Caenorhabditis elegans: one gene and its partners. The protein of the gene in region 2 interacts with the protein of the main gene of each other region in a pairwise test. Each region holds a gene or a part of one and is shown on either strand. Other genes may lie near its edges.

The links.
Region 1: the proteins of plin-1 (region 2) and his-3 interact in a two-hybrid assay, tested with the Caenorhabditis elegans proteins (one large-scale study listed by BioGRID).
Region 3: the proteins of plin-1 (region 2) and C01G6.3 interact in a two-hybrid assay, tested with the Caenorhabditis elegans proteins (one large-scale study listed by BioGRID).
Region 4: the proteins of plin-1 (region 2) and T05G5.1 interact in a two-hybrid assay, tested with the Caenorhabditis elegans proteins (one large-scale study listed by BioGRID).

The regions. Positions count from the first base shown.
Region 1 is NC_003283.11:16,036,542-16,043,028, reverse strand, and holds his-3 (Histone H2A), read right to left. Parts: upstream 2,222-6,487; coding exon 1,838-2,221; downstream 1-1,837. Other genes in the region: his-1 (Histone H4), read right to left, coding at 198-509; his-2 (Histone H3), read left to right, coding at 746-1,156; his-4 (Histone H2B 2), read left to right, coding at 2,514-2,885; T10C6.10 (F-box domain-containing protein), read right to left, coding at 4,736-4,919, 4,971-5,272, 5,813-6,128, 6,179-6,394, 6,441-6,487. UniProt on the Caenorhabditis elegans protein: Core component of nucleosome. Nucleosomes wrap and compact DNA into chromatin, limiting DNA accessibility to the cellular machineries which require DNA as a template.
Region 2 is NC_003279.8:7,053,001-7,061,035, reverse strand, and holds plin-1 (Perilipin-1 homolog), read right to left. Parts: upstream 3,845-8,035; 5' UTR 3,829-3,844; coding exon 3,733-3,828; intron 3,679-3,732; coding exon 3,082-3,678; intron 3,046-3,081; coding exon 2,959-3,045; intron 2,904-2,958; coding exon 2,700-2,903; intron 2,653-2,699; coding exon 2,551-2,652; intron 2,500-2,550; coding exon 2,440-2,499; coding exon of another isoform or gene 2,419-2,439; exon of another isoform or gene 1,869-2,418; intron 1,852-1,868; coding exon 1,741-1,851; 3' UTR 1,692-1,740; downstream 1-1,691. Other genes in the region: W01A8.2 (UPF0235 protein), read left to right, coding at 4,668-4,736, 4,786-4,924, 5,002-5,129, 5,328-5,423; W01A8.8 (DUF19 domain-containing protein), read left to right, coding at 6,265-6,309, 6,363-6,498, 6,758-6,846, 7,045-7,263. UniProt on the Caenorhabditis elegans protein: Lipid droplet-associated protein which plays a role in lipid droplet clustering.
Region 3 is NC_003280.10:9,266,203-9,273,372, reverse strand, and holds C01G6.3 (Lipoprotein), read right to left. Parts: upstream 3,486-7,170; 5' UTR 3,480-3,485; coding exon 2,895-3,479; intron 2,847-2,894; coding exon 2,724-2,846; intron 2,677-2,723; coding exon 2,221-2,676; 3' UTR 2,106-2,220; downstream 1-2,105. Other genes in the region: C01G6.4 (RING-type domain-containing protein), read left to right, coding at 349-413, 596-653, 702-770, 821-909, 1,416-1,647; C01G6.2 (uncharacterized protein), read right to left, coding at 5,077-5,187, 5,235-5,366, 5,430-5,834.
Region 4 is NC_003281.10:9,736,666-9,746,966, reverse strand, and holds T05G5.1 (Prothymosin alpha-like), read left to right. Parts: upstream 1-3,627; 5' UTR 3,628-3,630; coding exon 3,631-3,734; intron 3,735-3,796; coding exon 3,797-3,900; intron 3,901-3,950; coding exon 3,951-4,022; intron 4,023-4,639; coding exon 4,640-4,800; intron 4,801-5,924; coding exon 5,925-6,053; intron 6,054-6,099; coding exon 6,100-6,545; intron 6,546-6,989; coding exon 6,990-7,078; intron 7,079-7,479; coding exon 7,480-7,610; 3' UTR 7,611-7,873; downstream 7,874-10,301. Other genes in the region: iff-1 (Eukaryotic translation initiation factor 5A-1), read left to right, coding at 362-491, 536-688, 807-944, 994-1,059; hlh-4 (Helix-loop-helix protein 4), read left to right, coding at 8,128-8,190, 8,924-9,478.

The DNA of each region.
Region 1 (6,487 bases), on a different chromosome or scaffold from region 2:
CCTCCTTTATGATCTGTTCTGGTATGGAAGCAGACACTTTTCAACATTGCTTTAACAACGCAAAAAAGGCAAAAATATAAACTCAAGGATAAGTAAGGAACACATATTTATGCACAGAAAATTAGGATTTTAGATTTGTGGCCCTAAAGAGGGCCGTTGGGTTCGGTTGGTTGGTTGTATGAAATCGAGAGATAAAATTATCCTCCAAATCCGTACAGAGTTCTTCCTTGGCGCTTCAAAGCATAGACAACGTCCATGGCGGTGACGGTCTTTCTCTTGGCGTGCTCACAGTAGGTGACGGCATCACGGATGACGTTCTCGAGGAATACCTTGAGAACTCCACGAGTTTCCTCATAGATGAGTCCAGAGATACGCTTGACTCCACCACGACGAGCAAGACGGCGAATAGCTGGCTTGGTGATTCCTTGGATGTTGTCGCGAAGGACCTTTCGATGGCGCTTGGCACCTCCTTTTCCAAGGCCTTTTCCTCCCTTTCCACGTCCGGACATTGTTGCAGTTGACTTGAAGACTCACAAGTGAGATGAAGAAATGGGCAGTTGGCTGCCCCTTTTATACCACTATGCGGTGTGAAGGCGGAGACACTGCGGGGATACATATGTCTTGATATCCTTGCACTCTCTCACTTTTGCCCACTCTCTCACCTCCCCGCCTTCCCACCACAACCTTGTATAAATGCAGTGTATGGGTCTCCTTTCTTCACAGTCCTTATCGGATTCCAATTGACATGGCTCGTACCAAGCAAACCGCCCGCAAATCGACCGGAGGAAAGGCTCCAAGAAAGCAGCTGGCCACCAAGGCAGCTCGCAAGTCTGCTCCAGCCTCTGGAGGAGTCAAGAAGCCACATCGTTACCGTCCAGGAACCGTCGCTCTCCGTGAGATCAGACGTTACCAGAAGTCTACCGAGCTCCTCATCCGCAGAGCGCCATTCCAACGCCTTGTTCGTGAAATTGCTCAAGATTTCAAGACCGACCTCCGCTTCCAATCTTCCGCTGTCATGGCTCTTCAAGAGGCTGCCGAGGCTTACCTCGTCGGACTCTTCGAGGACACCAACTTGTGCGCAATCCACGCCAAGCGAGTCACCATCATGCCAAAGGACATCCAATTGGCCAGACGTATCCGAGGAGAACGTGCTTAAATTTCTGATTTTCAGAAAGTTTGAGACCGTTTCAATTCAAACCCCACCGAACCCAACGGCCCTCTTTAGGGCCACATACATATGATCCAATCATTTTCAATCCAATTTGAATAAATTATTCATTATTTTTTAACTTATTAAAAAAAAAGAACAAAACCAGGAAACTTTAGAGCCATACAATTTAGTATATTTTTATAATATCAAAATGTTTTACTGTCCTCACAGAAAGTGTCATTAATGACGTCATCAATTGCCTATCTGAGTCAGATCCAGGTCCAAACAATTGTAGGTATTGTGACGTCACTATATCTTTGTTTCTAAGGAATTTGCAACCACGTGTATTCAAATACTCAACCAGGAAAACCTCTCTAAAATCATATTGTTCAACAAGGTCACATTCAATGACAACTTTGAATTTGGCGCCAATTTATTTGAATTTGGAATGACCTCGTCCAATTTTAATTAACATTTGTAAGACAGAAGAAAATAATTACGAATCGTTTTGTGAATCAACCAAATCCAAAAAGAAGTTTCTTCTTTGCAAACGATTTTCAATTTATAATAAAGTACGTGCAAAAACCATTGATAAAAATAATTTTTATTCATGTTCAATAGAGGATTTTAAATATTTGTGGCCCTAAAGAGGGCCGTTGGGTTCGGTAAAATGTTTTAAGAAGGCATCTATTCCTTGTCTCCTCCGGTTTTCTTCGGCAAAAGAACAGCTTGGATATTTGGAAGAACTCCTCCTTGGGCGATGGTTACTCCAGCCAACAGTTTGTTCAACTCCTCATCGTTACGGACGGCCAGTTGGAGATGTCTTGGGGCAATTCTGGTCTTCTTGTTATCACGGGCAGCGTTTCCAGCCAACTCGAGAACCTCAGCAGCGAGGTACTCAAGAACGGCAGCCAGGTAAACTGGGGCTCCGGCTCCAACACGTTGAGCGTAGTTTCCTTTACGGAGAATACGGTGAAGACGACCAACTGGGAATTGGAGTCCGGCTCTTGATGAGCGGGACTTGGCCTTTCCTCCGGTCTTGGCTTTGCCTCCCTTTCCGCGTCCAGACATGGTGATGATTGGTTGGTAGATGTAAAAACGATCTGAAGGAGACCATTAGACCACACTCTTTTAAACACAACTGCGGTGACTAGGCGGGCACATAGACACAAGGCAGGTGGAGGAGGTGGCAGAGTGACCGAGAAAAACTGTGCACTCTGCGTATTCGGCTGGGGAGACTACATAGAAATGTGTCCCCGCAGTATGTCCATAGGCTCCTCCTTCCCACCGATGAATTATTATAAAGGAAATGGCCATCAACCCATTCTTTACACTTGTCCAACGACCAGTCCAATCAATCGAAATGGCCCCACCAAAGCCGTCTGCTAAAGGAGCAAAGAAAGCCGCCAAGACCGTCACCAAGCCAAAGGACGGAAAGAAGAGACGTCATGCCCGTAAAGAATCCTACTCTGTGTACATCTACCGTGTACTCAAGCAGGTTCATCCAGACACTGGAGTCTCTTCCAAGGCTATGTCTATCATGAACTCTTTCGTCAACGACGTCTTCGAGCGTATCGCTGCTGAGGCATCTCGTCTTGCTCACTACAACAAGAGATCCACCATCTCTTCTCGCGAAATTCAAACTGCCGTCCGTTTGATTCTGCCAGGAGAGCTTGCCAAGCACGCCGTCTCTGAGGGAACCAAGGCTGTCACCAAGTACACCTCCAGCAAGTAAGCATTCAATTGCTGAAAGCAATCTAACCGAACCCAACGGCCCTCTTTAGGGCCACATTTTTAAAAATCCAATTTTTCTTCTGTTTTTAAACTGAAATAAAGTTTTTACGAATATGAGGATAGTTTTTAAAATTAATTTTTAATTTAATTTTTAATATTTTTTTGTTTTTAATAATGTTTGTTTATTTTTATTTTATGGAGATAATTTTAATATTAATTTGTTTCATAAAAACACCTAGTTTTTCAAAGAGTCGTAAAATTGCACCCTTGTGTGTGTTTTTACTCCAGAGAAAATTGACTAACAAAATTGGAATGATAATCTGAATGTAAATGTTTCATATAAAGTGGGTTTGACATATAACATGCAATCTTGAACGCGAATACTGTAACTGTTTGCCTAAAACCTTGTCTACTTGTGCGATGATCAAGCTTCCAGATTTTTATAACTATGGGGACGTAAAGAAGTGCAGTTGTTAGAATAAGAATATTTAAAAATATAAATACATTCTAAACTTTGCAGCATTGTACTTTTAAAATTCCGGAAACCTACTTCGTACATCACTGGAAATTCACAATCGCGATTCTGGATATTTCAAGTGATCCTATGTGTATTTAAAAACCCGTTCAAATTTTTGGGTTCGATCGAGCTATCAAAAATGGGACAGATTTGTTCTTTCGAGTTCTTTGATTTCTGAAAATTTCCTTAACTCTTCAAAATGTAATACAAACTTCTGAAAACACTGAGAAATTTCTGAAAATTTCTGAAAATAGAGAATCCTATATTAATGGAGCATTTTTGAAAGTTTGGAAACATTCAAGAATTTGCTAAAGTTAGCTAGGATCTTTAAAAGATCTTTAGAAATTTCTTCTGGTCAACTCTACAAATGTTTAGAACCATTGAGAATGTTCTGGAAAACTCGAAAAAGTTTGAACAAACCCAGAAATTTCAGGAGTATTTGAAGCCTATTAGTCACTTGGAAATCAATGGGAAAGTTGGAGAAATTTTTTCTAGAAACCCGGAAACGATTAGAAATCTGGAAAGTTTTGACAATTTCAAAAACTGCAGTTTTGAAAATTTTTGAGGCTCTTCTGAAAATTCTTTAAAGTTTCAAAAAAAAGGAAACTGGTTGAATTTTTCAAAAGCTTTTAGGAAATTTAAAAGATAATATTCTGCAACAAAAGCTAGGTGATTTTTTGAAAGACTTTCTTACTTTGTGCGTAAGGTACATACATATCTGATTAAGTTTTTACACCGTAAAAAACTTAAAATTAAATGCAAATTATGGCTTACAAATGGTAAGAAAACATCACGGTGCCAGCAAAAAATACGAATGGGAAGTAGGATTTCTGCACAATTTGAAACATTCGGTTGGTTAATGGAAAAAATGTCTGGAAAAACAACTGCATTTAATATGAGGTAAGAGATCATATCTTTTCATCTCGTTCCCTATTTGTATTATAAGAATACGAATGAAACGGGAAAATAGTTATATTGAAAAAAGACAATATTCCCAATATGTAAAAATCGATTTTTGAAGACTTGTCAAACAGAGTTTTGAATACTGCTGTTGCATTAATTGTCACTGATTGCAGCAGTAAGCTTTTATGAGTGAAAGCTAGCCTTGAAAATATTATTGACTTTCACCGGTTCCACCCAATCTATTGATAGTTTCCCATTTCACATGCCTTGTTAGCCCAGGTTTTACGATGCATTATTTGCATGAAGTTACTGTAAATTGTGTCAATTCAGGGCTGCTATCTTTTTTTTTGAAATGTTGTTGAGATGAACTAAGTGATACAAAGAAATGATATATTTTTCAAAATAGTTAAAATACATATAAACGAAATAATTCAAAAGTTATGAATAATTGGTTCAGTCTCGATACGATATTTATGCTCAACGGGAGGATCGGGCCAGACGAGGAACAAAAATGCTCGAGGCGAATTCACAATTGTCGCGATTTTTCCGTCACCTCTTGTCACGTCGAGATCGTTTTTAGTGTCCAGGAGATACGGGTCCCGATGGCAGTCCATTCTGAAAACGTGAGAAAAATACACTAAAACGGTGTAAATTACCAGAACTTACACATAATATCTTCTTCTCGTAGAATCCAGGGATGAGCGTCGATGATTCCATTTCTTCGGATACGAACCCGATCCAAGTATTGTCGGATTGAAGCAGCCATGAGAATCGGGAGTGAAGTGAAGCTCAAATCTCTCCAAATGTGGCCATCGACCATCACGGAACCAACGCGAGATGAACTGGTTCACAGTTTCGACATCCCACTTAGTGTTTGACAACATAAGCCGAGTGAAATTTGCTCCCATAACATATCCAAATGTGACCCATCTTGCATCCATGATGCACACACGATTCAGGTCAAAGATCTGCAAAAAAATTGAGTTTTCTACTTTCTGAACTTTCAGGTTTTTAGTTGAAATTCCATGGTCAACTATGCAACTTTTTAAGAAACCAAAAATTATGCTTGAAACTTGATTTGATTTGACTGACTGACTTGATTTGAAAAACTAAAAAGAGTTCAAACAAATTCAGTTGAAAATTGAACAATCTTGTTACTAAAATAATAATTATTATTATAATAATTTATTACGCTCGCTGGGAGACGTGAAGGAATACAGAATACAAAAGTTATCATTGTTCGCTTGAACTAGAATTGGTGCAGTCGGGCAATTGTTTCCATTCCATTAGAATGTTGTCCTTGTCCTTGCGTTGTCCTTGCGTAGACTCCCCCATAGTGGGCGAGCGATTCCCGAGTGAAAATAATCACGGAATGAAAATAATCACGGAATGACAATAATCACGGAATGAAAATAATCACGGATTGATTAACTGAAAAGAATTCCTAACTGAACTCGTTTTAGTGATTACAGCCAGAGGACGACGAAGCTTTTAGAAAGAGCCCTTACCTGAGTCAGATCGAAGAGAGGTATGGAGAAGTAAAACTCAACGATGATTCCCTCCAAAAGCACATATTCCGGAAAAATTGATGACTGCAGACTGACGTGTTCGTTCGGGTTTATATTTCCCGACAATTTCGCCACGAGGTTATTTTTGAAAATTGGATGGTCAGTATGTTGTCTCACTCTCATAGTACATTCATCCATATTGACCACTGCGATTCCACCACGGCAACTGAAAATTGTGGCAAAAAAATCGAGACAGGGTTGTAGACACTCTTCATAGATGTCCGTGGAGCAGTGATATCTGGTTTTCGGGTCGTATCTGGAATATTTGTCGATTATTGACAGCTGAAAATGAATAGTATCACTAACTTCATCGGCAATCTTAGATCTCCGAATTTCACAGTCCTATTAAAAACTGCACGTTTAGAGGTGAAGTTGAAAGTGAGTGGTCGATCCTTTTGCCAATTATTGTAGAAAGATATTGATTTTTTCTCTTTTGAAATGTTGACCTCAATATGGTCAAATGTGTGGTGAGCAGGGTTGATCAAAGCGGCCAATTCCGCCGACACTTGGGACAACTCGAATCTGGAAATATGAATAGTTTAACTAATACGCCTGGAAAAAAACTTACATGTGATGAGCGTCTAATTCATGGAGAACGATGCGCAATGCCTTGGA
Region 2 (8,035 bases):
ATTGGGCTCGATTCAATTGGCCACGTAAACTTTTATTCCAGTTATGAAACGTTTTCCATCGAAGAAGACACTGGCATGTGGACATTTCTCCTAGCGGAGATCAATGGTTTGTCGGTTGGAATGGATGTTCCTCAGCCAAAGGGTTTGAAAGTTTGGGATCGGTTCAGAACTTCAGTGGGCACAATCAGAAGTTCCCCGAGTTAGAGTAAACGGTTAGTTGGTGTACTTTTCTGAATTTCGCTTCACACTTTTTATAGTTTTGAGTGAGTAACGATAGATTAGCTCACGAAATCTTTTCTGTAAGAAACATTGAGATAACAATATACGACTTATTGTTGAGGCGCAGTTTTCTTTTAACAAAAATTCAAGCAATTTTAGAATTTATTGTTTTCATAAAGCTCAGAAGGTCTTCGCTTGTTCAAAAACTTAGTTTATTGGTAATTTTCAAAGTTTTATCTCTTCAGATTCTCGTCTGAACAGTTCTCCACTACAAGCGATTGCGGTATTCGTTTAAAGGATCAAGCGAAGCTGCATTTTGTCTACGCTCTGCCTGTGAACACGGATCTTCTTAAAAAGTGAGTAAAAAGAGAACAACAAGGTGTAAACTAAGTCGGCATTTTTCAGGTTTCAAGAGTTTTCTGATGTGGATTGCGACCTGGGGATGTATTTTGATGTTCAAAGATCGATCTGGTGGTCTTAATCTAAAGAAGAAGCAGAGTACTTTGGGAAAAAGGAATAGCTCTGATACAGTTGGAACGCAATCAAAGAATACGCGGGATATTCGAGATGATGATGATGATAAGAAGGATGTGAAACCACGACCAACATCAAAGAATCAACTGCTCGACTCTGTCAAAATGTCTGCAGTTCTTGACACTTTTCTGACCGTCATTTAAAAAATTAAGACAAATTAGTTGGATGAGCTTCGCCAACGAATGGAACATGCTCTGTTGGCTTCCGATCAGAAAGTAAGAACACGTTTATCAGAAATAATATGACTTTATATTTTCTAGAGAATTTCCATCAAGGATATCAAAGAAATGCTCGAGGGAGTATTGGAAAAGATGGACATTTGATGAGCCACTTCTTCGAAATCCTACAACAAAGCCTCCTACTCGTACTTTGTAAATAAAGACTTTCATGATAAATCCTTTTTCGTGTTTCATTTTCTCTCTTTCACAGACTGAGATTTTCGTCCTTGAACGGGAAAACTTGCTCAACTTTGACTATTTACAGCTCTTTAGAAAAATAATTGAAAAAACTTTAGAAAATAAAAAATTACGGTACAGTGTTGCTATGGGGCTGCTGGGGGTTGCTGCCTAAGCAGCCCTACTTGTTTGGATATTATTGTAACATTAAATTCTGAGAATGCGTATTGCGCAACATATTTAAAGCGCAAAATATTTCGTAGCGAAAACTACAGTAATTCGATAAAAGGCTACTGTACGTATTGTTTTACGGAGGTCGAAAGAATAGTAGTCATTTAAATAGTAGTCATTTTTTTTTGTGTTCCCGTAATATAAGCAAGCATTTTTTCCATTTTTCAAGCGAAGGAACTAAAATTATAAAAAGAGGCAGACATTAACGTTAAGTGTAAAGATCGGAGAAACAAGCGATTAATCACCGCAAGTGTCACATGTGATTTCTTATTTCCCCGATAATCGGCATCTTATCTAGACTTATCAGTATCAGGTGAGTACTCAATTTATTATTTACAAGTTGTTCAATTTAATCAGTAATTTAGGCACGATTCCTATACAAGTTTCTTGTGCGAACTGGCGGTGGCGCATCGAAGTAGAGCTCTTCGATTAGTAGATCTTCAGGTTCAAATTGCCATTCGGCCGAGATAATCTGCAAAACCGTATGCTATGTATCTTTATTTCCGTACCCTTGTTTTTGGTAACCTAGGTCGAGGGATTTTGGACTTTTAAGAATGGAAAAATACACGTACGGCTGATAGAATAAATATGTGGGGAGGAGTATGGTACTGGTGAGAATTTTAAATGGGAGGAGGTGGCTGCTTACTGTGCATAATTTGAGAAGGTAATCGTACATCTGACAAAATATAGGCAACATCCACACAACAACCATTCTCAACGATGATGACGAGAAGGAGCGGCGCAGGTGATATAGTAGAACAGGTCAAGTCGAAGTGGTGTAATGGAGAGGAAAAAAACAAAAAGAAAGAAGATTGAATAGCATGACAAAAGATGCCATCATCGTCGCCAGCCTATCACTTGCTTTCTATATCAAAAAAATTTGTGAGGGTGGTGCGAAGGAGGGGAATGGAGGGCAAAGGTCTGACAAAAACAAATAAAATTGAGAAAAGAGTAGAAGTCATCATCATTTAGGAACTGAGCCAGTTATTTGACATGAAAAGACTACAGATAGTAAAGTGGTGATTGAGAAGAAAAGTTACTATTCGGTTTGTTGACGAACCAAAAGGCTAGTCGTCCAGGTTGAAAGCTCGGCGATCCGTTGACGTCCCTCGTTCAGAACCTGTAAGAATACTTATTTAGATAAACTTTTTTTAAAATGAATTTTAGATACCTCGTCGCGGACTTTGTAAACATCCTCAGCATCTGTGAAGTTCTTCTTCAAGTTCTCCAAGTAGTCAATGGTGGAGTCAATCTTAGTTCCATCACCGAAAACCTGGAAAAAAGAAAATAAATTATACTTTCTAGAATAGAACAACCAACGTTTTGTCCCTTCTCACGCAATGATTGAAGTTGTGTTGAGAGTTGCTCGGAGGTTGATTGAATGTGTTTCATCAACATCTCTTCTGGAGCAACTTTGTATTTTTGTGCCTCTTCCTCAAGTGTTTTCTTGAAATCAAAGACAGATGTGGAGAGCTCGTTTGACTTCTCTATGACCCACGTTTTCTTCTCACGGACGATGTCTAGCTGAAAAGTATCAATCTTAGATTCAATATATATTCATTTATGAAAATAAACTAACCAATACGAAGGATTGGCTGAGCTGCTCAAGATAATTACGGGCTCTCTCGTTGATTGGATCGATAACATGATCATGTGCCTTAAAAAGCTAGACGGATTTTCAAAAAATGTTACATTTCTCTACCTTGTTAGATACTCCTTGGACGATCAGTGAAGCCAGATTTTTGACTCGCTGTCCGATGGTGAGGTTCACAGATGGTGGGACCTCGATATTGAGTCCTTTCTGAACTGCTCCGTCAAGAATGTCAAGCAATGAATTAGTATTTTCTGTGATTTTCTCCACAGGAACCATGGCGATTCGTTGGGCCTGATGAAGAGCTGAGAAGATTCTGTGTTCGACAGCAAGCTCGGCTTCTTTGATCGTAGAAATCGCGCTGCTTCCCAACTTTTTAGCACTGTCCACTTGCTCAAGGACCAGGGCGGCACCTCCAGCACTCAAGGCAAGTGAGAATTGGGTCAAAACGACGGCAGCTCCAATTCCGAATGTACCACCAACGATAGCAGCTTGCTTTCCGCTCTCAACAGCTGTTTTGGCCCTCTCGGTTCCATAAGAGACTGCTTCATAAGCGGTGTTCTTTGGCTTAACGTAGTACGAATTGTATCCGTCATAGGCTTTTTGAGCCGCATAATTTCCGACAGTGGAAACCTTTTCTTCGGCTGAATTCAATGTGGAGTTAAGAAGTGGATGGAACTCTTTAGTCTTTGTGTATGCATTGATTGCCTGAAAATAAAAATTATTGTGAAACGAAGATTTTGGAAAGCGATATAAAAATACCGTTTGTACGTAAGCATTTCCTAAGACTTGATCGTAGTAGCTTTGGGCTTGGGCTTGTTGATCCTCAACTGATACTGGCTGCTCGACGTCAGTCATCTTTCTTGCTGCAAACAATCAATTGATAAAATGATAAACTAGAAAATACGTTCTCAAAAGAGAATAAAAGAAACGAGAAATCATGAAGAAGAGATAGAGAAACTGAGGACTGGTCAGCTAGTATTTGTAGGTCCTCCGTGAACGTACTTTGCCCCCAATCAGATGGTGGGGTGACTAAGTTTCGCAATAAGTTCACTTGGAAAATTGTGGATTCCCGCTACAAAACTACAATGTAGCCAAAAGACACGTTTCCTTAATGCTACTGTGTTTGAAACGAGACGACAACAAGTAAATGAGGGAAAAGTTCAGAAAACAAAAGAAATACTTCGCTTTTTCTACCTATTTTGCTGATTATCAGTGCAAGATAATAAACCTGAAAAATTTTCGCAGAAATTACTTGGAAATAAAAACTGATAACGGTCGTTAACGGGAGAATCTAGAAAAATCGCGAGAACGTCTGAAAGAAAAGGTAAACAAATTGAAAATTAAACAAATGGCGCCATTATTAAATTAAATAATTAAAACATGTCGGGACCATTAAGCAGAAAGGTGTGCGCCTTTAAAGATATACTGTACTTGGGGAGTACTGTAAAGAAATTTTAATCCGAAAATTGTTTGTTTCTTAACACAATCTTGTGTTTTTTTAAATAAAAAACATATTCAACAAATATATTTTTTCGCCGAAATTTGAAAATATTCCGCATAGTAAAACTGTCCTCGTTGTTTTATTCTCCTTTTCTCTCACTCTCCCACCAGACGCAGAGAAAAATACAACGTTCAGTGCACAGAACGATCGTGACTTTCATAAATTTTCTCTCAGTTTTCATTTAAAGTTTTTTATGTGGACAGGCTTCTTCCGAACTTCCTCTGCGTGCCTCAAGGAGAAAATGGTTAAGCCAAAAAAAGAGGTAATTAATTTTTAAAAAAATCAATCAAGAAAAAATAACGATATTACAGAAAATAGCGAATAAATGTGTTCCGACCGGCGAAATAGTTGATAAAAAAGCGCAGGAATCAGCGATTTTCTCCGATACTGAAGGTCGAATCGGACTGCATATTCACGCAAAACCGGGCGCCAAGAAGAGTTGTGTTGTAGGTAAGATATTTTTGATTTTGCAAAGAAGAAGAAACATCGAGAGAGAGATAAATGTTTACTAAATGTTAAATTCGCAGCAATCGGAGATTCGGAAGTTGATGTAGCAATTGGCGCAGCGCCACGCGAAGGAGCAGCCAATGAGGAGCTCATTTCATATTTAATGAGTGCTTTGGGTCTTCGAAAAAATGAATTACAATTTGATAAGGTAGGTATTTAAAAGGAAGCTAGAATTAGCAAACAAATAAATTGAAGTGAATCGAACGATATAATCGATGTTCTTTGAAGTTGAAACCAGTTTCTAAATAATCGAAAACACTTTCATGACTCCTTGAAATAGTAAAAGCGAATCAGATTATTCACGTGAACATTTGAGGGAATTCCCATGAATTTGTCTTCTTTTCAGGGAGCAAAGTCAAGAAGCAAAGTGGTGCTGATAGACACAAAACGATTGACCATTGACGAAGTACGGAAGAAGTTGCAGGAAGAAATCGACAACTGATTCTGTAAGAATTCAAGTTATTGAAAAAATTATTGAAGAAATCTGAAATATCTTTTAATCGTGTTATTATTAAACGAGTGTGCCCTGTAATTTCAAACTTTCGTTGCTGTGGTATTTTTATCGATTTTTCTCAGTTTTTCGAGAAAAAATGGCGAGAAAGCTGAAAATTCAACGAGAATTTGGCAGCATGCTGCAGCAATAAAAGGTTGAATCTACATTACTCTTTAAAGGCGCACGCTTTTGTATTTAACAAAAATTTGTCGTCGCGAGACTGGGTACTGTACTTTTGGAGTAAAACTCGCATAATTTCGAAAATTTTGGATATGCAAAACACATTACCCACATTAAACAAATATTTCACTTTATAGATTTTTAAATACCTGTTTCCCAATGAAAATTTGAAAAAATAATTTGATTGTTATTTCAATATTTCCATGTTTTCACTTTCTGAAAACAAATTTAAAAAAATTAAAGGGCATTGTTATAAACAAACATACTGTTTCAATAGAAAATATTTGATTGTTCACCTGAAAAAATGTTTGCTGGAAATGTATTTTTCATTTTTATAACAAAGCTCGCAGACAGTTCAATCGTTCGAAAATGTCTGGGCTCTCTGTTTACTTCCTCTCTCCGTTCCATTCATTTTTTGATTTCAAAAAACAAAACAAAAATGCATTTAAAAGACAGACAAACACGTGTGTTCAGTCCACTTGCTTTCCTTTTTCTCTACCATTTTATCTCTAATTTCACAAAATAAACCAACATTCATCTCCATATTTTCCCATTCATTCACTCTCCTCTCTCTATCTCTTCACAAATCATTATCAGTGATCATTGCAACATGACACTTTTTCTCGGGAGTCTCTTGTTCATTTATTGTACCTTGGTATGTTTTTTGACCCTTTATCTTTCCCATCATAACCCGAAATTAGAGTTTAGATATCAGTAATCTCCGCCAAGCCTGATCCTGAAATATGTGAAAAATATGAAGTTGTTGAACAAAAATTCAAATGTGGACCTGATGGCTACCCACTACATTTTGGTCTCAGAAATTGTCTAATGTTCAATAATCAAAGTGAGAATATTATCAGTTAAAAGCAAATCAAAAATCGTCAGGGGAATATTTCAAAACTACTAAAAAAATCAACAATTCTCAAAGCTTTTCAAATTGTCAAAAAATTTTGAAAATTGTAGCAATTTACCAACACTTACCAGAACGAAAGTTATAACTGGAAGTTTTAAAAAATAAATAAAAATTTTATGATATTTTTAAAGATTAAAAATTACGTTGGAAAATAATTAAAATTGTATAGTGTATACTTAATGTTTTTCAGGCACACTTGATAAGTTCACCCCAAAAGGACGGAAATTTGTTGGATGTTCTACTAATTGTCTAGTCAAAGCCATTGTTAACATTTCCGAAGTGAGTTTAATAATAAAAATATCATATTTTCTTATTAGTCTGGTAGAATATACTGTAGTTATGTGAAATTTGTTTTTAATAATTTATGTCTAATTGTTAGACTAAACGCTTTTTTCAGTCTAGAATGAACTAAAATAAGTTTCCAAGTTATCACTGCTAATACCAATTGCAGTCACAAATTTCATTTCAAATTTTCAGTACTCAACCAGCTGCACTCAAATCCAAGAAGAAGCGTTCAAATCACACGTCGATTGCTATCTCAATTGTAATTTCTGTGAAGTGTGCAAAACCGAAAAACTCGCATTCCTTGGAAGTTACGATTGGACAGATTTTCTAAGTTATGCTGCCGTTAAACAAGTTCTTGCAATTATTCGTAAATGTGGTATATTTAGTTGTTTGAAAGTGTTTGATGTTTAATATTATTTTATTCGGGTTTTTCGTTCGCTTTCCTTGGTTTTTCGTTGTCCCATCTCGAAATAAATGAAGCTCATTCAAAAATGCATTCAAGCGTTATACGCTTCCTTCTCACACTTTACTCACTTTTTGTTCATACTCACGAGGACATCACGAGTATATTTTTAAGTTTCCTAGGCGACCGATATATGTATGCCAACTCAGGAAATGTAATACTCTTTATCAGAAAGTATTATTTTCAATGACATTTTTCAGTTTTCCTCGGTGTCTTCTGCTTGAGAAACTTCAATAGAATTCACTAAATTTCTAAAATCTGATATTAATCGCAAAAATTCGTTAGTTTATTGAATTTTCGGCATGCCCATGAAAGATCTGACTTACTAGGGAATGACCAGAATAAGTGGAGCGATATTCAAAAAAAAATATTGTATCGGAAAGCTGACATTCTCTACTATAAGAATATGACTGAAATTTTTGCCCATTCGGGCTGGAAATCTGACGTTTTCAGACGTTTTCAGACGTTTTCAGACGTTTTCACGTTTTCAGACGTTTTCAGACGTAAAAATTTCAGATTTCCAGCCCGAATGGGCAAAAATTTCAGTCACATTCTTATAGTAGAGAATGTCAGCTTTCCGATACAATATTTTTTTTTTGAATATCGCTCCACTTATTCTGGTCATTCCCTAGTTAAATTAAATTCTTATCGTAATAAGAAAATTCAATCAAAAATTTCTGTCCCTTTTTATTGAGGAATTTATGTTCATTTGCAACACTT
Region 3 (7,170 bases), on a different chromosome or scaffold from region 2:
ATGCATGGACGTTTGAACATTATCTTACTATTAATTAGACGTCTAAAAGGTCTTGCGGCGCGAGCAGTGGGTTACTGTAGCTCGTGTCAATTTACGGGCCGAAATTGTACAATATACATTTTTTAATCATGAGTCAGAATTTTTTAAATTAAATTAGAGAAATATAACGCTATGGCAAACTGTATTTTGACACGAATTACAGTAACTTGTTGCCCGCGTGGCGAGACCCATCCGGAAAAGTCATGTAGAAAATTCTCATCTTTAGTCGTCTGAGAAATACTCCGATGTCCTCATTTTGTCACATCTTCATATATTCGACTTTTTTTTCAGCTTGATTTTCGATCGACAATGGGAAACTGCTTGCCGTCGTTGTTCGGGTTCGTCAGACAGCACGATGAGACGCCACTACGACGGTAATTTACTTTGTCATTCACTAGTATACTGTGAGATGTCGATGAAGCTAAACTGATGTGATATACCACAAAAATGAAAACGGAAGTTGTATTAACCAAAACACGTCGATTTTTTAAAAATTTAAATACAATTAGATTGTATGCTTGAAGTATAGAACAAGTTCAATAAACTATTTTTGCAGGAGCCGATCATCAGACGCAGCGATGAGCTTCACAAATCCGTCAATGATGCAACAAAGCGTAAGAAATTATTGAAGAATCTGAATTTAATTAAACTGAAATTTTCAGAGTTCGTACGTAAATCAGCTCTATCAACACAACGTAATTAGACAACGACAAGCACAGGAACAGGGAAAAGTGAGCGTTTAGAGCAGAATAATTTTAATTAAATTTTAAAAAATTCTCAGGAACTCGACGAAGCAAAAAAAAACCGAATTCGAGGACTTCTCGAGCAAATCCCTGCTGATGTATTTCGAGGAGATATGACCAGTAATGAGTAAGTTTTGAAATTCGGATCTAAATGAAAAATTAACTAAATTATTCAAACTACAATCTGACCAATATCAATTATTGTTCGAGCTACAGCAGAGGTGTTGAAAAAATTATTATCACCCAGACGCAAAATTTCACTCACAAAATATGGTTCCCGGTCTCGGCACGACAAAATTTTTGTGTACTGTGGAAGAGTGTGCGCCTTTAAAGATTACTGTAATTTTAAACTATAGATATATACGGAAATTTCATAGATTTTTAATTCTTTTTTGAAAACTCAAATATATGTGATTAAAAAATCACATACATTTTCACGAAACTTAAAAAATGATGAAATTTCCGCTGCAAGGAGAGTTTGAAAATACAGTATTCTATAAAGGCTCACACCTTTTCGCATTAAACAAAAAATTGTCGTGTCGAGACCGTGTATCGCACTTTGGCGCAAAATTTCGCGCCTGTATAATCAGTATTAATGCGCTCTAGTTAAATTTTTAAAAAAACCATTTTCAGATGTGCCATCTGTATGATCGACTTTGAGCCAGGAGAGAGAATCCGATTCCTTCCTTGCATGCACTCGTTTCATCAAGAATGCGTCGACGAATGGCTTATGAAGTCATTCACATGTCCTTCGTGCCTTGAACCAGTCGATTCAACCATACTTTCCTCGTTAACTGCCCATAATATGCAATCCTTACAACAAATCGTGTGCTCGCCGACTTCCTCATCAACTGCCAAACCATGAATGCCTTCTGCAAAAAATATTCCCATTTTCTTGCCCAGTAGAAGTTTTCGAGTTTGGTTTGCAGTGTTGGCTGTATTTGTCCCCATTACAAACGTCTGTATATAGAAATGCGTGTACATATGAACTATACCATTTCTTCACTCATCTTTCACCATTTTCATTTTGTTTCTTTTTTGCTCTGTTCCACCTGAAATCCCCATGTTGTGCATACTGTAGTCGTCTTTAATTCCTCATCATCTCCTGTTCATCTTTTTAGTCAATTCCATCCCAACGTGTTATTTTTCTTTCTTCTGTTCACTCATCTCGCTCTCTGTTCTGTAGCTTTTCTTTAATTCACCACTCGGTACACACTTTCTGTCTATGTATCTGATACTCATTTTATTGACTTCCCAAAAAAACTTCCGGCTACTCTGAAATTCAAATAAATTGCTTTTTTTTAACGCATAAAGTGTCAAATTGTCAAACTTGTTTTATTAAAAGATTCATATTGGAAATTGAAATTTGAAAAAAAGGATTGGATCCCTGATGGAAATTGGTACTCGTGGTGAAAAAAATATTAAAATTAAAAGTCAATTAAAATCCGAAAAAGTCTCGAACGGCATCCCAGGCTCCTTGATCGTAATGCTTATGGCTTAGCATGTTCACACCACGTCGTTGAGTGGTATACAATCGTGTCGGAGTGTCGGACTTCAGAATCTTCTGCGATTCTGGCAGCAATTCGGCGAATTGGCTCTTCTCCGGCTCGTGATGAGGTGTCATATCGGGCATCATAACTGGTGATCCGTTTTCAGTGGTTGGAGTTCCAAAACTAGTTCGGAGCACGAAGACACGTCCAGGAACGGTTGATTTTGTGCCATTTTGATACAAATCAACATCAGACTCGGTCGTAGCGTAAATATATCCGATTCCGAAGCTTCTGCGGAAGACAAACTCATCTTCGGTCTTGTAGGCGTAAATTGGGCAATCCGAGAGAGTACGAACGTCGCATTGGGTGTCAAATTCTTCGAAGCAGTAAATGTACGTGCCGAACTGAAAATTGAAACATTTAATTTGAAAGAGTATTCAGTAATACTAACCAAAACTTTGCATTTTTCAAGCTCAATTGGGATTACAGCTTGTTGAGTGATCAGGACGAATTGTGGAATATCATAATAGGCATAGACCTCCTCATTGTGCAAGAACTCTCCTCCATGGGCCAACTGAAATTATATTTTTTTTTTTTCTTTAAATTCACTCAAAGGACTTACCGCATAAATAGTTCCAGATTGTGGAATATCTGAAATATTGAAGCAAATCATCGTCTGAACAGTCATCTGTTTCACGTTGCAAGTCTTCGGGAATACCGTTGTCTTTTGAGCAAAGTCTAGAACATCGTTGGCTCCGGCTCTTTTGATGGTTTCTTCAGTGACTGAATCCAGGAATGGATTATTGATTTTATTCTCCAAAAATAGAGATTTGAGATCTCGTTCGAATCGAAGACTATTCCAATTGTAGTCGAAATAATCCAAATATCTCATTTGAGATCTATCCTCTGTCAGATTGTATTCTGGTTGCTCGTTCTCGGTTTGGATATTGAATTTGCGGCAAATTGCGTCGAAACTCGTGAAAATCCGCTTTTGAAGAAGCCCTCGACTGTACTCATTCATATTGTTCGTGTTGAACGAGTTGACAAACTCATTGAGATCCAAGGTATACGGTACACAGTGTTGCTTCTCCGGAATCAGACGTCCTTCACCGTAAACTTCAAACTCGATTCCATTGGCACGGAATGAGTCGAGCACTGAGCATGTGGAGAATGCAGAGCAAATTAGGAGAAGAATCAGAAGACGCATCTGAAAATCGATAAATTGAAAGTGAAACGAAAGGAAAGTTGAGTTAGATTCCAGAAAACTTTCAAAAACCAATGATGGAATGACTAAAAAATGGGAAAAGAAGAAGTAAGATTGAGGAATGAAAACTATAAATTGGATAAAAATCCCGCCGAGTTTGTGGAGGTAGGTCAAAAAAGTATTTAAGTCTAGAATATAAAGTTTGTTGAACAGCTACAAAAAAATATAATTAGATACAGTATACTCCCAGCTTGCCTATAGATGCACCTAATTCTTCTATTGTAGGCAGCCACACCTTCAGGCACATGTGCCTGCCTCAAAGGTTTATAGAATTGGAAAAACAAACAAGCAAAAAGTGTTAACAAGTGGGAGAAGGTAGGCATGTAGGCACAAAATAGGCGCGCGAATTGAACTGATTTACCAGAATAGCATTTTAGAAGTTAAAGTTTTTGCTATTAAAAAAAGAAAGAAGGGATCAACAGAGAACTAAAGGATTCAAAAAAGAAAAAGAGCCAAACAAAATATTATAAAATAAATAGAAATGACCAAAGAAAGACAGGGGTCACCTATTCGAAATGTGTCTGCACACGGTGCATATGCGCTAATGTGCACGATAAAGAGTGACCACAAATGACATGTATATCCAAGACGCGCGGAGAGACTCACCAGAACGCTGCATTGCGCAACAACAACAATACGATCGAACCGCCTCCGATATCTTTCAGAACAATGACGTCATTAGAAGGGGTCATCTGCTGTTTTTTTTGTTTTAATAGAAATAATGGATTAGGTGGCGTTGCCGCCTTTTAGATTACGATTTACGATCAGGTAAGGTGGTGTATCTGGTGACGGATTATTGTGGTGTGGTGACGGAATGGTACACAATTTGGGAAGAGTCATGAACTCAATTTGCTCAAATTTGAATATTTGGATCAATGAATGAAACTGATGCTATGGTGGACATTAAATAAATTGTCTAAAAGCAGCCTGATAAATAAAGTTTATTTACCGTATTTCTCCTATAAGTATTGCACCCAATTGTTCAACTTTGACAGCTTATATCTTAGTTGTCGTTTGTTCTATACAAAAATTGTCAACTGAAACTTATTTTCAAAATCTTTTTATATAATTTTGTAGTTGATCATTTATTGATATCTCTAAAATAAACCAAGATATACATTTTCCAAGTAAACTAGTTGGGTACGGAAATACAGCACCTATTGGTTTGGTAAATTGGTAAATGATAAACTATGCTTTTGTGTATGAAAATGTTTGAAAAAATGAAAGATTCGACAATTTTTAAATAACATTTTAAGGAATACTAACGTTTTCGGAACTTGCCTATTGCGGCTTCTATGCAGAAATTAAGAATCTTTGATATTCTGTCCATCTTCCAGTTCCCCCAGTTTAAACTATTGAAACGACTGAAAATTTCTCCCTGAAAGTTTAGTGCTGACTCCGAACCATATAAGGGCGTTTTGTTAAACAGAAAAGTCCATCCACCATGAAAATATTGATTGGAAAATTGAAAAAAAAACTAAAAAGCAAAACATTTCAACTGAAAAATTTTATTTGAAGGACGAGATGAAAGGCTGATTTGTCACATAATTTCGTTATTGTACCGATTTTGCACGAGTTGACACAAATCACTTCTTCTGGAAGCAATCGCTTCCAATTCCAGCCAGTGTCTGATAGTTCGGATCATGAGTAGCTGAAAGTTAAATTTGAACTTTGATTGTGTGAACTACAAAAACAAACCAGCCATTCCAGGACCACCGGCTTTTGGAGCACCTGGAGCCGCACCACCACCAGCTGGTTTTGCACCTTCTTTCTTGTCGAAACAATCGTTTCCAATTCCAGCAAGTGTTTGGTAGTTGGGGTCGTGGGTGGCTGAATATGATTAGTTTGTTAGTACGTAGTTGAATCTGAATATCCAATGAAATATTTACTCACCAGCCATTCCAGGACCTCCAGGTTTTGGAGCACCAGCAGCAGGAGAAGCTCCACCAGCAGCAGCAACAGGAGAAGCTTTTCCTTTCTCTTGGAACACATTTCCATCAACTCCAGCAAGAGTTTGATAATTTGGATCATGTGTCCCTGCGACAGCATTCTTATCACTTGGAGCCTTTGGTCCCTCTGGGTTTGGAGCACTCGATGATTTTTCTTTCTTATCACTCTTTGCACTGGTTGCACCATCTCCTCCTCCTCCTCCAGTTTTAGCTCCACCACCACCCGATGATCCACCAGTCTTCTTCTTTCCTCCACATTGTCAATGACGTATCCGGTGAACACCATTGGAGCGAGCATGCTGTAACCGAGATGGGCAAGTTGTAGAAGTGTTTCACTATTTTCTGCCATGTTTCTTTCTGAAAAAATAACTTGCATAATTACAGATAGAAAACAATCTGCATTAAGCATGAAAAACCGGACGTTTTCACCAGATTCCTGAGAATCAGGAGTCCTTGAAGGTCTTTATGCCAACATGCCGGCAAAGCTTCCCCAAAAAAGAGCCGAAGAGAAAACTCACCGAATACACAAGGTCGCAGAACAAAAGTTAGAATAAATTAATTGAACAGATAAGTTTCTAAATTGAGACTTTCACGTGTTTCTTTTCAAGATTTTCATAACCTTTTCATAAACCAAAAAATACTTTTTGAGATAATTTGAGCATTGCGGCAAACTAAAACCCCTGCAATGCTCAAACTTAAAAAATTAAAACAAAATTATTAAAGGTGCACTTTTGGGGGGAAATTTCAAAACGGGATCCTTACAAATGTACTTATGAATCTCATAGAAATTCCCTTTCTTTTCATCCAAATCCCATGCACCGTAATATTTCCATATTATTCGTATTGTTTCTAATAAAAATTCATAGTTTTTTGTCTTCTGTATATTCAAATCGAATAGTGCTCCGTGGTAACAGAATGCGATTTATTTTATGAGAAACTTGATGTTTCTGGCAGATTTTATTGATCGCACAATCATAGTTTCGTGGTACTCTGGCGATCTTGACGAATTTATTGATACATTTTACAATCCTAATAAATAAATAAAAAGTAATAAAAGGTTCGACGATTTTACGATAGAACGAGCATGTGTGGATTACTGTATTGGGAAAGTTCTTTAAATTGTTAAGATGCAAATTTTTCAGAAATCTGTGTGATTTTTTGAGTCACAGTTTCCATAAACCGGAAACACAAAACCATTATTCATAATTGTGCAATTTTTTACCAGCCACAGTACCTTTATCGTTTAGGCTTTCCAATATGTATTCTTCCAAGTTCTAGCTCTATAACTGCAATTTCATTCCCCCTGTAATGCACAATTCGGCACTACTCTGCCAAATACCGAATAGTAACAATACAATACTTGAAACGTGAATAATAATGAGGTGTTGACCATGCCCGGAACAATACCCATTTGCATATATTCATTTCCTGTGCAGTGTGTCGCTCTTTTTATCCGGATTTGGGTGTGCGCGGGGCGAGTGAGGAGGTACCCACCGGTAGATCTACCTTTATATTATTTGACCTTCAATTACCACTTCTACTGTTATTAGTACATTGTTTGGTAGCCACCACTTCGTACGATTAGTACTTTCAATGATATATGTGCCTAGGTGTAATGGAAATCACAAAGCGTCAAGGCGAAGTGTCAAGTTATGTCACTCCTGTAGTGAAAATCAAAATCATTT
Region 4 (10,301 bases), on a different chromosome or scaffold from region 2:
ATAAATCAAAAAATAGAGCAGATTCCTTGAAATCCTAAAAAAGTGAGGACTTCGATTCTGTCTGAAGATGGAAGTTGGCGCCAAATTTTTGGCTGCGTAGCGACTCATTCTTCATTGTGATACGCAGCCAAACAACGTCCTTTCAAAAAAATTCGCGCATTTGATTTTCTCTCGATTTCTATACTTTTCTCAGGTTTGTACAGTGTTTTTCTTGCTAAGATCAATATTTTATTAGAAATGCATCAAATTTCTCAATCAAAACAATTTTTTCCTGCAAACCTTTTTTTCCAAATTTATTTTTTGAATTTCTCGTTGGAAACTAGTTGAAAATGCTAAAATAATTGATAAATCTTTGTTGCAGTATGTCCGAAGATCATCACGACGAGGAGCAATTCGACTCTGCCGAGTCCGGAGCTGCTGCTACTTTCCCGAAGCAATGCTCGGCTCTTCGCAAGAACGAGCACGTCATGATCCGAGGAAGACCATGCAAGGTAAAAAATAATTCAGTGAATTTTCCTAATTAGAAATTTTTTAGATCGTCGAGATGAGCACCTCCAAGACTGGAAAGCACGGACATGCTAAGGTTCACATGGTTGCCATCGATATTTTCACCACCAAGAAGCTTGAGGATATCTGCCCATCCACCCACAACATGGACGTCCCAGTCGTCAAGAGACGCGAGTACATTGTAAGTTGTTAATTAGTTTTTAAGAAGGCTTTCAAAAAAATCAACTTTGGACGGTTAAACAAATCTTTTGAAAAATGAGTTAATCAGCTGTAAAAAATGTTATTGATCAAATTTTCAGCTCATGTCGATCGAAGACGGGTTCTGCTCGCTCATGGATCCAGAATCTTGCGAGCTCAAAGACGATCTCAAAATGCCAGAAGGAGACTTGGGAAACACTATCCGTGAGGCTCTCGAGAAAGACGAAGGAAGCGTCTTGGTAATTATTTCGACATCCACCTTTTGAATCTGAAAATTTTGATTTTCAGGTTCAAGTCGTTGCTGCCTGCGGAGAGGAGGCTATTCTCGGATACAAGATTTCTACCAAGGAATAATTGCATTTATATACAATTTCATAATAAAAGCAGTTCCAGTTTAATCATCCCGCTTTTTATACATCATTCGAAAAACATCGGGCAATGAACAAGTGCACCTCCGCTGGTGTTGTGTAATGTGGGTGTTTTATGTGTCGTGTTGATTGTGATATCTGCTCACCAAACGAAAATGAATTGCTTGCAAACCGCGGAGGTGACATCTGTCCATGGAGTGTTAAATCAGATTCAGTTGTCAGACTTTGTAATCACAGTTCCTAGTTTTTGGAACTACATGGCCTGTGCAGCTTTTCCACCCTTTGTACACTACACCTTATTGCTTATTGAGTTGACCCCAGGTTGGCCGCGTGCCAATAGAGCTGTTCACTTTAAAACGTGTCCTCCTCCGCGACCTGCGAGCACCCCCTTAACCACGATAATATCTAGGTGCAGTATCAAAGACCCACCTTCCTCAAACCTCACTAGCCATCCTTCCTTCATCAATTGGCAATTTAAAAGAGTCGCATAAATTTCACAGTCACCCAGGAAGATTTCGTAAACTCTACGCTTCCATCATCATCTCGCCACATCTCGCACCTCCTGCCGCGTTTACACCCGTGTCCACTCTTTCATCAGCCTTGATTGTTTGCCTTTCTCCAAAACCACACATATATCCGTCCTAATCTAGATTACTGTAGTCCGTCTCCACCTGTTCTTACTTAAGCTTTTCCTATCTCCGGCTTGCCTTCACATTCGCAAACAAAGCCTGAGAATTTGATGAGTATTTGTTCCATTTGTTGCATCAACCAGCATGTTGTATAACTGTTCATTTTACGATTCCAATAAGTTTTTATGATGGAGTACTGTTAATAGCGTTTTTACTTTAAAATTCTCAAACTGGTTAGCAGACCAATTTTGGGTCTGCTAAATAGTTTTTATAAAAAAACCATTGACAGTACAGCCTCTAAAAAAGATTAAAATAATTTTTGAATTCAGAAAGTTCTTGTTTCATATAAATAAGAGCCATCCCTCTACACGGGTCATCTAGTAGCTCTAGGTCGACACCTGTTCGTAGCAGGTTTTATGAGCTCAACAAAGGTTGTAGGTGAGCCGTGCCAACGTCTCAGTTTCAAATTCCGAGTTGAGTATTACGAAAACCTGGGTATAAAACGAGGGGATGCCGAGAAAAAAAGAGTAGTGGACACACACACACATACGTCTCATCTTCTTATTTCTTTTCGTTTCTTCCCGTCCAGGAGCCACTTGTCGTCCCGTCGTCATTTTGAGTTCCAAATGATGAAAGATTCAATGAATCACGGAGACGCAGGGTCCCGTCGATGGCTCATTTTGCGTGTTTTAGTGGCGGGACACAGGAAGAAGTCGAAGATTCACAACATGTCGCAACTGATTCATCACTAGTGCCTTCTTGCTCCAAGAGCAATGTTTTTCTAATTAGTTTGTACTACTTGATAACTTCTTAAGATTTGTTCTACTACTTTTAAAAATTTGGTTTTGTAGCTAGAAATCCTGAAAAAAAAAACATTTTTGCTATGAACTTTTTTTTGGATATACTTTTATAAACAGCATCTAGAATTAGTTAGAGTACCTGAAAAATCAAAAATACGAAATAGTACTTGTATCCTATGTGCGAAGTTGCACGATTTTCATTGCAAAATTAGGGTCTCCGGTCTCGCGACGACCGAAGAAAATATAAATAAATTGAAATGAAAACGAGTGTGCGCCTTTAAGAAGTACAGTAGTTTTTTTTGAAAGTTTCCTTGAATTTTTTTTCCACTTCAAATTATTCGTTTCGCTTCGAGACCAAGTACCGTAATAGTACCGTAAATTTCGAATTCCTATTTTTTAAAAAAATTCTTTAAACTGAATTTAATCAAAAATCAATATTCAAGTTAAATTTTCACCTTTTTGGTGAGTTTCAATTTCTCGAATGATACAGTAATTTTGAAAAAATAATTTTTTCTTATTTCAAATAATCTAAAAAATAAAACTTCATATTCTTTCAATGATGCCGAAATTTACAAAAGCCATGGTAGTTTATTAGAATTTTTTAGAATTTCATGTCAAAAAATTGGAATAGTTTTCACCTATCATAATTTGGAATTTGTAATTTTGACCAAAAAAGTCCTACGAATTTTGTATTTAAATTCAAGAATCATAGAACTTCGAACCTGCAGGAATGTCCAAAATTGTTAGACTTTAATTTTTTGTTGGGGAATTGTTGGTTTTTTTTTTTGAAAAAGTGTTAGACCTATATTTGTATGAGTACAAATGCTTTAAACATAATTAGAAACAAAAACAATTTAAAAAAATCTTTAATTATTTGGTTGACTTCCAAAATTGTTGAGAACTTGCAATTTTTGGATATAGATGGAACCAATTTCAATTTTTTTAAATAAAAAAGTATTGCTATGATATTTGACAATTCATCTTCTTCTCTGTATTTTCCGTACCCCAATGGTTTGCACTTCAATATAAGTTTTAAATTTAAAAAAGTTGATTTCCTTGTTTCCAAAACACTTCTATGCCTTAAAATGTGATAAAAATATAATAAACGATTCAATATTAATTCAGAAAATGCATTCACGGATATTGTTACTACTTTTGATGTTCGCATTCAATGTCGGCCTAATCAATTGTGGTCAAAGTCTTGTATCACCTCAATCAAACTGTAAAATCAGGTAAAATTACCCACTATTGACAACCACCAATTATATCTTCTTCTTATAATTTCTAATTATAGGTGCGAAAATGGTGGAATGTGTGTTTTCGATTTGGAGCGACCCGATTTTCATTCATGCATCTGTCTTTTGGGGGTCTACACTGGGGACAGATGTCAGATTAGAAGTAACTCAAAATTTAGAGTTTAGGAAAAATATTTAATTTTGAAATTTCAGTTGCTCCCGAAGATATTGAAACAACTGCAACATCCGATGAAACATCACACCCAATGAATATCCAACATCAGCGTATGTTTCTTTAAAATTCAAATTATCATGATTTTGTCCCCATTTGAAACTTCACTTTAAAGGCACACACTGTTTTCTGAGTGGGTCTCGCCACAATTTCAGTAGAACTAAGCGCTAACAAGCGCTAAAACGGTGTTTTTCAATTTCTGAAATTTTAAAATAAAAAATGTTTGCCGAAGTTGCCGAACCCAAAACTTTTCGGCAACTTTTTTTTCAGTTTAAGTTGGTCTACATATATTTTGTTGGATTTATATTTCGGAGGGTTTTTGTTTAAAAAAAAAGTATTTTTACATTTACGGCGAATGACGTAATTGCCAATATTGACAAAATTGTCAAAAAAGCCAAAATTGCCAGAATTTCCAAAGTTACCAAAGTTTTCGATATTGCCAAAATCGACCAGTGAAGTATTATGCGCGCATCGCAAAGGAACTGTTACTAGGGTTTTTTTCCTGAAAGCTGAACAAAAACATTTAAATGTGCTATTCTGTTGTTCCATTTTTTTGTATTATTTTGTTTGAGAATGTAATTGGTCCTGACACGACAGCTGTCGAGATGTCAAAAGTTGTCAACCACAACACATTTTGTTTTAGATCAGCAATAAATTCTTTAAATTCCAGAATCTCAAGCTGATATTGATGATGCTCGACGACGTGACGATGAGAGAAAACGTGAGTACGAGAGACAAGTCGCCGAGAGGACACGCAAAGAAAAAGAGGATCGAGAGAGAGCATCAGATGAAGAGAGACGCCGACAACAACACGAACAGTATTGGAAAGAGGTAAGCCCTCCCCCCATCAGCAGAAAAGAACAGTTGTTTTAAATTGAAAGAGAGATAGTGAGCATCTCAATGAGCTCTCTATCACATCGAGCAAGCAGACACTTGTTTTGAACACATTCCACACCACCAACGGGAGGTGCATTTTCTGATTGAGCAAAAGATTTGGGCGGTATATGAATGATAGATCAAAGGGGACAATTTGAGGGGAAGTGTTCCAATTGATATTTGATTGAAAACTAGTTCCGGATTTTGGATTTGCCTGTTGCCGCCAAATGTTGTAAGAATATTATTGTCAAAAACATTGAAACATTTATTGCCCATGAGCCATATAAGGTGAATCATGGTGCAGTGGGGTGTGAATAAAGCAAAACATTAGATTTTCAAGAACCAATCTGCACAAAAATTAAATTTTCAAGTAACAAAGTGTGACAAAAAAAAGCATTATATTATCGGCGTAATGTTTTTATAGGTAGTTTTGGAATTTCGGCTCAGAATTAACCTTTGCTACATGCCAAAGTTTCCAATAATTCCAAAACTTACCGAGTTTCCTAAAATTACCAAAATTGCAAAAAATGCCAAAGTTAAAAAAGGTAATTAAAAAATTTCTAAAGCTGCCAAAATTGGCACAATATAAAATTGCCAACTTGACAATATTTCTAAAATGACGATAATTTACAGAATATACAAAACTGCCAAAATTCCAAAATTGACATAATTGCAAAACTGACAAATTTGTCATATTTCCCAATATTACCAATATTGATAAAAATGCCAAAATTTTTAAATTGACCAAAACTTATAAAACTGTCGGCCTTGCCAACACTTACCAAAAATGGAAAAAATTCCAAAGTTTCCAAAAACTGGGTTTTGGCAAAATTTCTGAAGTTGCCGAAATTAGCAAAACTGACATATTTGTCATATTTGCCAATATTGCCAATATTGAGAAAAATGGCCGAAACGTATAAACTGTCAGTCTTGCCAAATTTGCCAAATTTGCCAAAAAAAATTCGAAATTATCGGAAATTCTGAAAAGAATATCTACTCACTGTAGACGTGAATATTTTAAAATATCTTACCCTCCGCCCCCTCATTTAAAAATTTTCCTCTCAACAAAATATTTCTAGGAGACAGCTCGCCGTGAGCAACAACGAGCTGAAGCCGAACGAAGAATTCAGGAACAAAGAGTACGTGATGATGAGAGACGCAGACAACACGAGGCTGAAAGATCACAAATTGAAGAGAGACGTAGAGAGGTTTGAATGAAGTACCGTATTATTTTAATTCTGAATCCCTTTGCAGGAAGAAAGCCGCCGATTGGCTGCACAACGAGAAACCGATGAAGCAAGAGTAAGAGATGAAGAGAGACGGAGACAAGAAACAGAAAAAGAAGTAGAAAAGGAATTAAATGATAAAAGGACACAATCAATGAATGAACAATTTGAATATGAAGGTGGAGATGAAGAATATCCACAAGTTGCTGAAAAAGAAGATGAATATGATGAAGGGTATGAGACAGATAATACTGAAGATGTTACAATCACAACTACAAAAACTACAAAACTTATGAAGCCTATGGTAGAAGAGAGTAAAGGAGTAGATGGAGATGATGGAAGTGATATGATTATGGAAAAAGATGAAATGGAAGATGATAAAGAACCAATTAGAAAAGAAGATGAAAAACTTATTGATTCGATTAAACATGTCTTCAATAAAGCAGTCGATGAAACTGTAAAAGAACATCCAATGTAAGTTTTTTCTAAATCTAGTTCTAGATATCAACTATAATTATAATACATATTCAAAAGTTGCTATGTGAAACATGCTATGAAGCACCCTGATTTTAATCCGACGCCTGAAAAAAATACAGATGTTAGGAATTTTGTACACCCATTATCAGGGCACACCAAAAATGGGTGGGATAATTTATAAAATTTTATTTGAAATTTACATTTTAGCTGTTGGCTAAAATGTGAATTAAAATGCTCCCAGTACCGTGTTTTGTAAATTTCATAGTTATCAATTCATTAAGAATAAGTAAAATGTGATGAGGAAAAAAGTTTTTCGTGTGCAATTTTAATGTTAAAATTGATTTCTTAACCCATTAGGAAACTTTAACAGTTCCAGAAATAATATTTCTGAAAAATCATCTCAAAAAAAAACGTTTGATTTCTAATTGAATTTTTTTTAAGCGAGGAAGACGAGTATTGGGATGAAACTTCCAAAAAAACAGACGAAGATAGTTGGACGGCAGAAAATGAAGGAACCAAGAAAACAGAAGGTTTGTTAATTTTTTAAAATTAAAATAATTTCAAAATTTCCAGAAATATTTTTTTTTGAGTTTTGGCAATTTGTTCCCATTTTTAAAACTGATTATTTTTTGGTACATTGGGAAAAGTTACTTTTTAAACAAATTTTCGTGAATTGATGCAGGCTTAAGCCGTACACTGTGCAAATAAAAATAATAAAAATATTTATAATTGTAGAAAAAAAAGATTGCTGGTAAAACTAAGTTTCCACCATTTTTTGGGAGTTTAAATTTAAAAATTTTAAATTAATATAATCAAAAAAAATTAAAATCATGTTTTGACAATTACATTAAAATATCCGCCATGAGGGAACCTTATATCGTACTAGGAAGTTGAAAATTTATCAAGTTTAAAATTATTTTATTTTTTTCAGAAGCCGATGAATACGGTATGGAAGAAGGTACAGAAGGATGGATGATGGTGAAAAAAGAAAATGAAAATGCAGCGGTTGGAACTACAGTATCCTTGATTACTGTAACTTTCCTATTCACACTTATCTTCTAAATATCATGAAAAAAGTATTCTCAAACTCCCAGTTTCCCTGTTAAGTACCAAATGTTCTGCCTTATTTTCTAGTTTCACGGGTTTCTTTTCATTGAATTTATCACACCTACTTTTGCTCATTTCCTTTCATTTTCCTAACTCATATCTCACTTTTTTCTCATTTTTAAATTCAGTTTAACCTTACAGTATTAATTATTGTTTTTTCAATACTACTTTATCCTTGATAATTCCTAAAATAATAATAAACGCTTACGTAAACCAATAATTACCGTAATCCTCTCGGGATGTAGTCACCTCATCCAAAATTCAATTAACGTCGACAACAGAACAGGTGGAAAAGTGACGGCGAGAAAAGGAGCCGCCCGTCTTGTATGACTGACTACCCACTGATTTCTTTCTGCTTTGCATTTGTTATCTGATCTCCCACTAACGTCAGGTGAGAATACAGAAATTTCAGATGATTTTATATCTTGTAACCTGAAAGTTTCAGACTCAAAATTCCTGAAAATCCAAAGGAATGCCGATGGTTGTTGCCAAGAGAAATGCAAGGGAACGGACACGTGTACACACTGTTAATCAGGTTTGATCCTTTTTTTGAGTTATGAAGAAATTACAGTAGTTTTCTGATCAGTGATGTGAGCAGCAAAGTTTTTTGGCATATTTACAAAATCCCATTTTCTCATTGTTGTGCCCAAGTTTTTTGTGAATGTATATAGGAATGTCGAGAAATATTTATACTTTCTGGTACATTCATTTGGCAAATTGAGACTTTGAGGAAGATTTTGAGAAATTTTTTGAGCATCTCAATTGAAAATAAATGCATCTTTAGAGAGTGAAAACATCTCTTTATATGCCGATATAAATTTACAACAAAAAACTTTGGCACAACGATGAAAAAGGGGAATTTTGTAAATGTTTCGAAAAAATGTGCCGCACTTCTCTGTTTCTTGTACATCAAATGGCAAGATGTGCTTCCAAAAAAAGTAAGAAGCTTTTTTGTAGATTGCCATTTCAAAGGTGTTGTAAGTGAGGATTTATTATTTCAAATTATCGATTATCGATTATTTTAAAAAAAAAACTGATCTTGGCTGTTAAGATGTTTCAAAAATCGAAGGATCTCTCTTTTTTTGAGAATTTTACATACTTTCAATAATCCTATTTGACAAATGTCAAATTATCTACATACGTCAGCCGTGATTTTCTGTAATAGATTATAGAGACCCTTGAAACAAATAGTATTCAAATAGTTTAAAATTCTAAATCGTACAAAAATATATCCAAAAGTCCGTTCATTCAAATACTTCTTATTTCAGGCATTTCTTGTTCTGAAACAACATCTTCCAAGCCTCCGTCAATTCACAAAACGTGTCAGCAAACTTCGTATACTGAATGCAGCAATCACTTACATTGACACACTTCTTAAATTAATTCAAAGTTCAGAAGCAGTTCCTCAGTCTGTTATTTCTGCAACTCTTGGCCCAATTGTTCCAACTCCCGTTCGAGCTGTCCATAAAATCTCAAAACCAGACACAGTCATATCTCAACCAATCCGTCCCCTTGCACCAGTTCTTCCACGCCACGAAACGTATCTCCCAGCTCCAATAGCTGCGACGTGTGCTCCAGATCATTCTCTAGTCGACTATAGATCAACATTCGCATCGTCATTAGCACCACCAGTTCCAATGCAAATGCCTTCAGTATTCTCACCTCAACCAACATTCCCTTATATGAAGAGTCTACTTGATTATCCAACATATTTCTATCAACCATCAACTGCACCTCCACCACCACCTGCACCAACTGCACCACAATCACATTTGATTGTTAATAATCAACTTGTACCAATGCCCTCTTATCAATGTTTTTGAATAAATACATTTTATTTCTATATGTGCAGTGGCTGTTCAGACTATTCAGGTTTCTCGTAAACTTTCGCTATTTTCCAAAGAATATTACTCAGAAACCGGACTTTTCGAAAGCGAAAATTTCATTTCCGAATACTTTTCAACAACCCACCTCAAACATGCCAAAAGATGAAGCAGCGGACATTTGGCGAGTTCATTTATGACAAAAAACTCTTGAAATACGTTTTCTACAAGGTGTTAGTTGTACCTCAATAAAGGGGAGCGGCAAACGATTTTTTCCGGCAAATCAGCAAATTGCCGGAAGAACGGCACTTGCAGAAAGTTTTCAGCAAATTGTGGTTTTGCTCATTTTTTTTGGAAATTTCAGAATTTTAATTTTAATCGGAAAATTGTACGCATCCTATGATTTATTTAGAAAATTTATTTAGAAAAATAATCAAATTCTATGAAAAAATCTTTTTAAAGACGAGAAAAAATGTGAAAAAGGCACAGTTCTTTGGCATTTTGCCGGAATTGGTAATTTGCTGGAAATGAACATTTCTGGCAGTTATCCTAGACTGGATTATCGACCACAATCCCCCAGATCGGCTTAAACGGAAGCCCAGTGGGAGCACCACCAGGAATGGTGTACCTGATTCCCAGATCCGCAGTGCATAGAGCAATCGTTTAAATAATATCAAGCTTTGAAAATACCTCCTTTTTTGCAATTCCACAAACTTTTTGAAATTTCAATAAAACCTTAGCACTGGCGGGAAACTCAGATTTTTTCTTTTATAATGTTTACTCTAGCTACTGTTTTCCTAATTTATTTAACGGTTTTTCTATG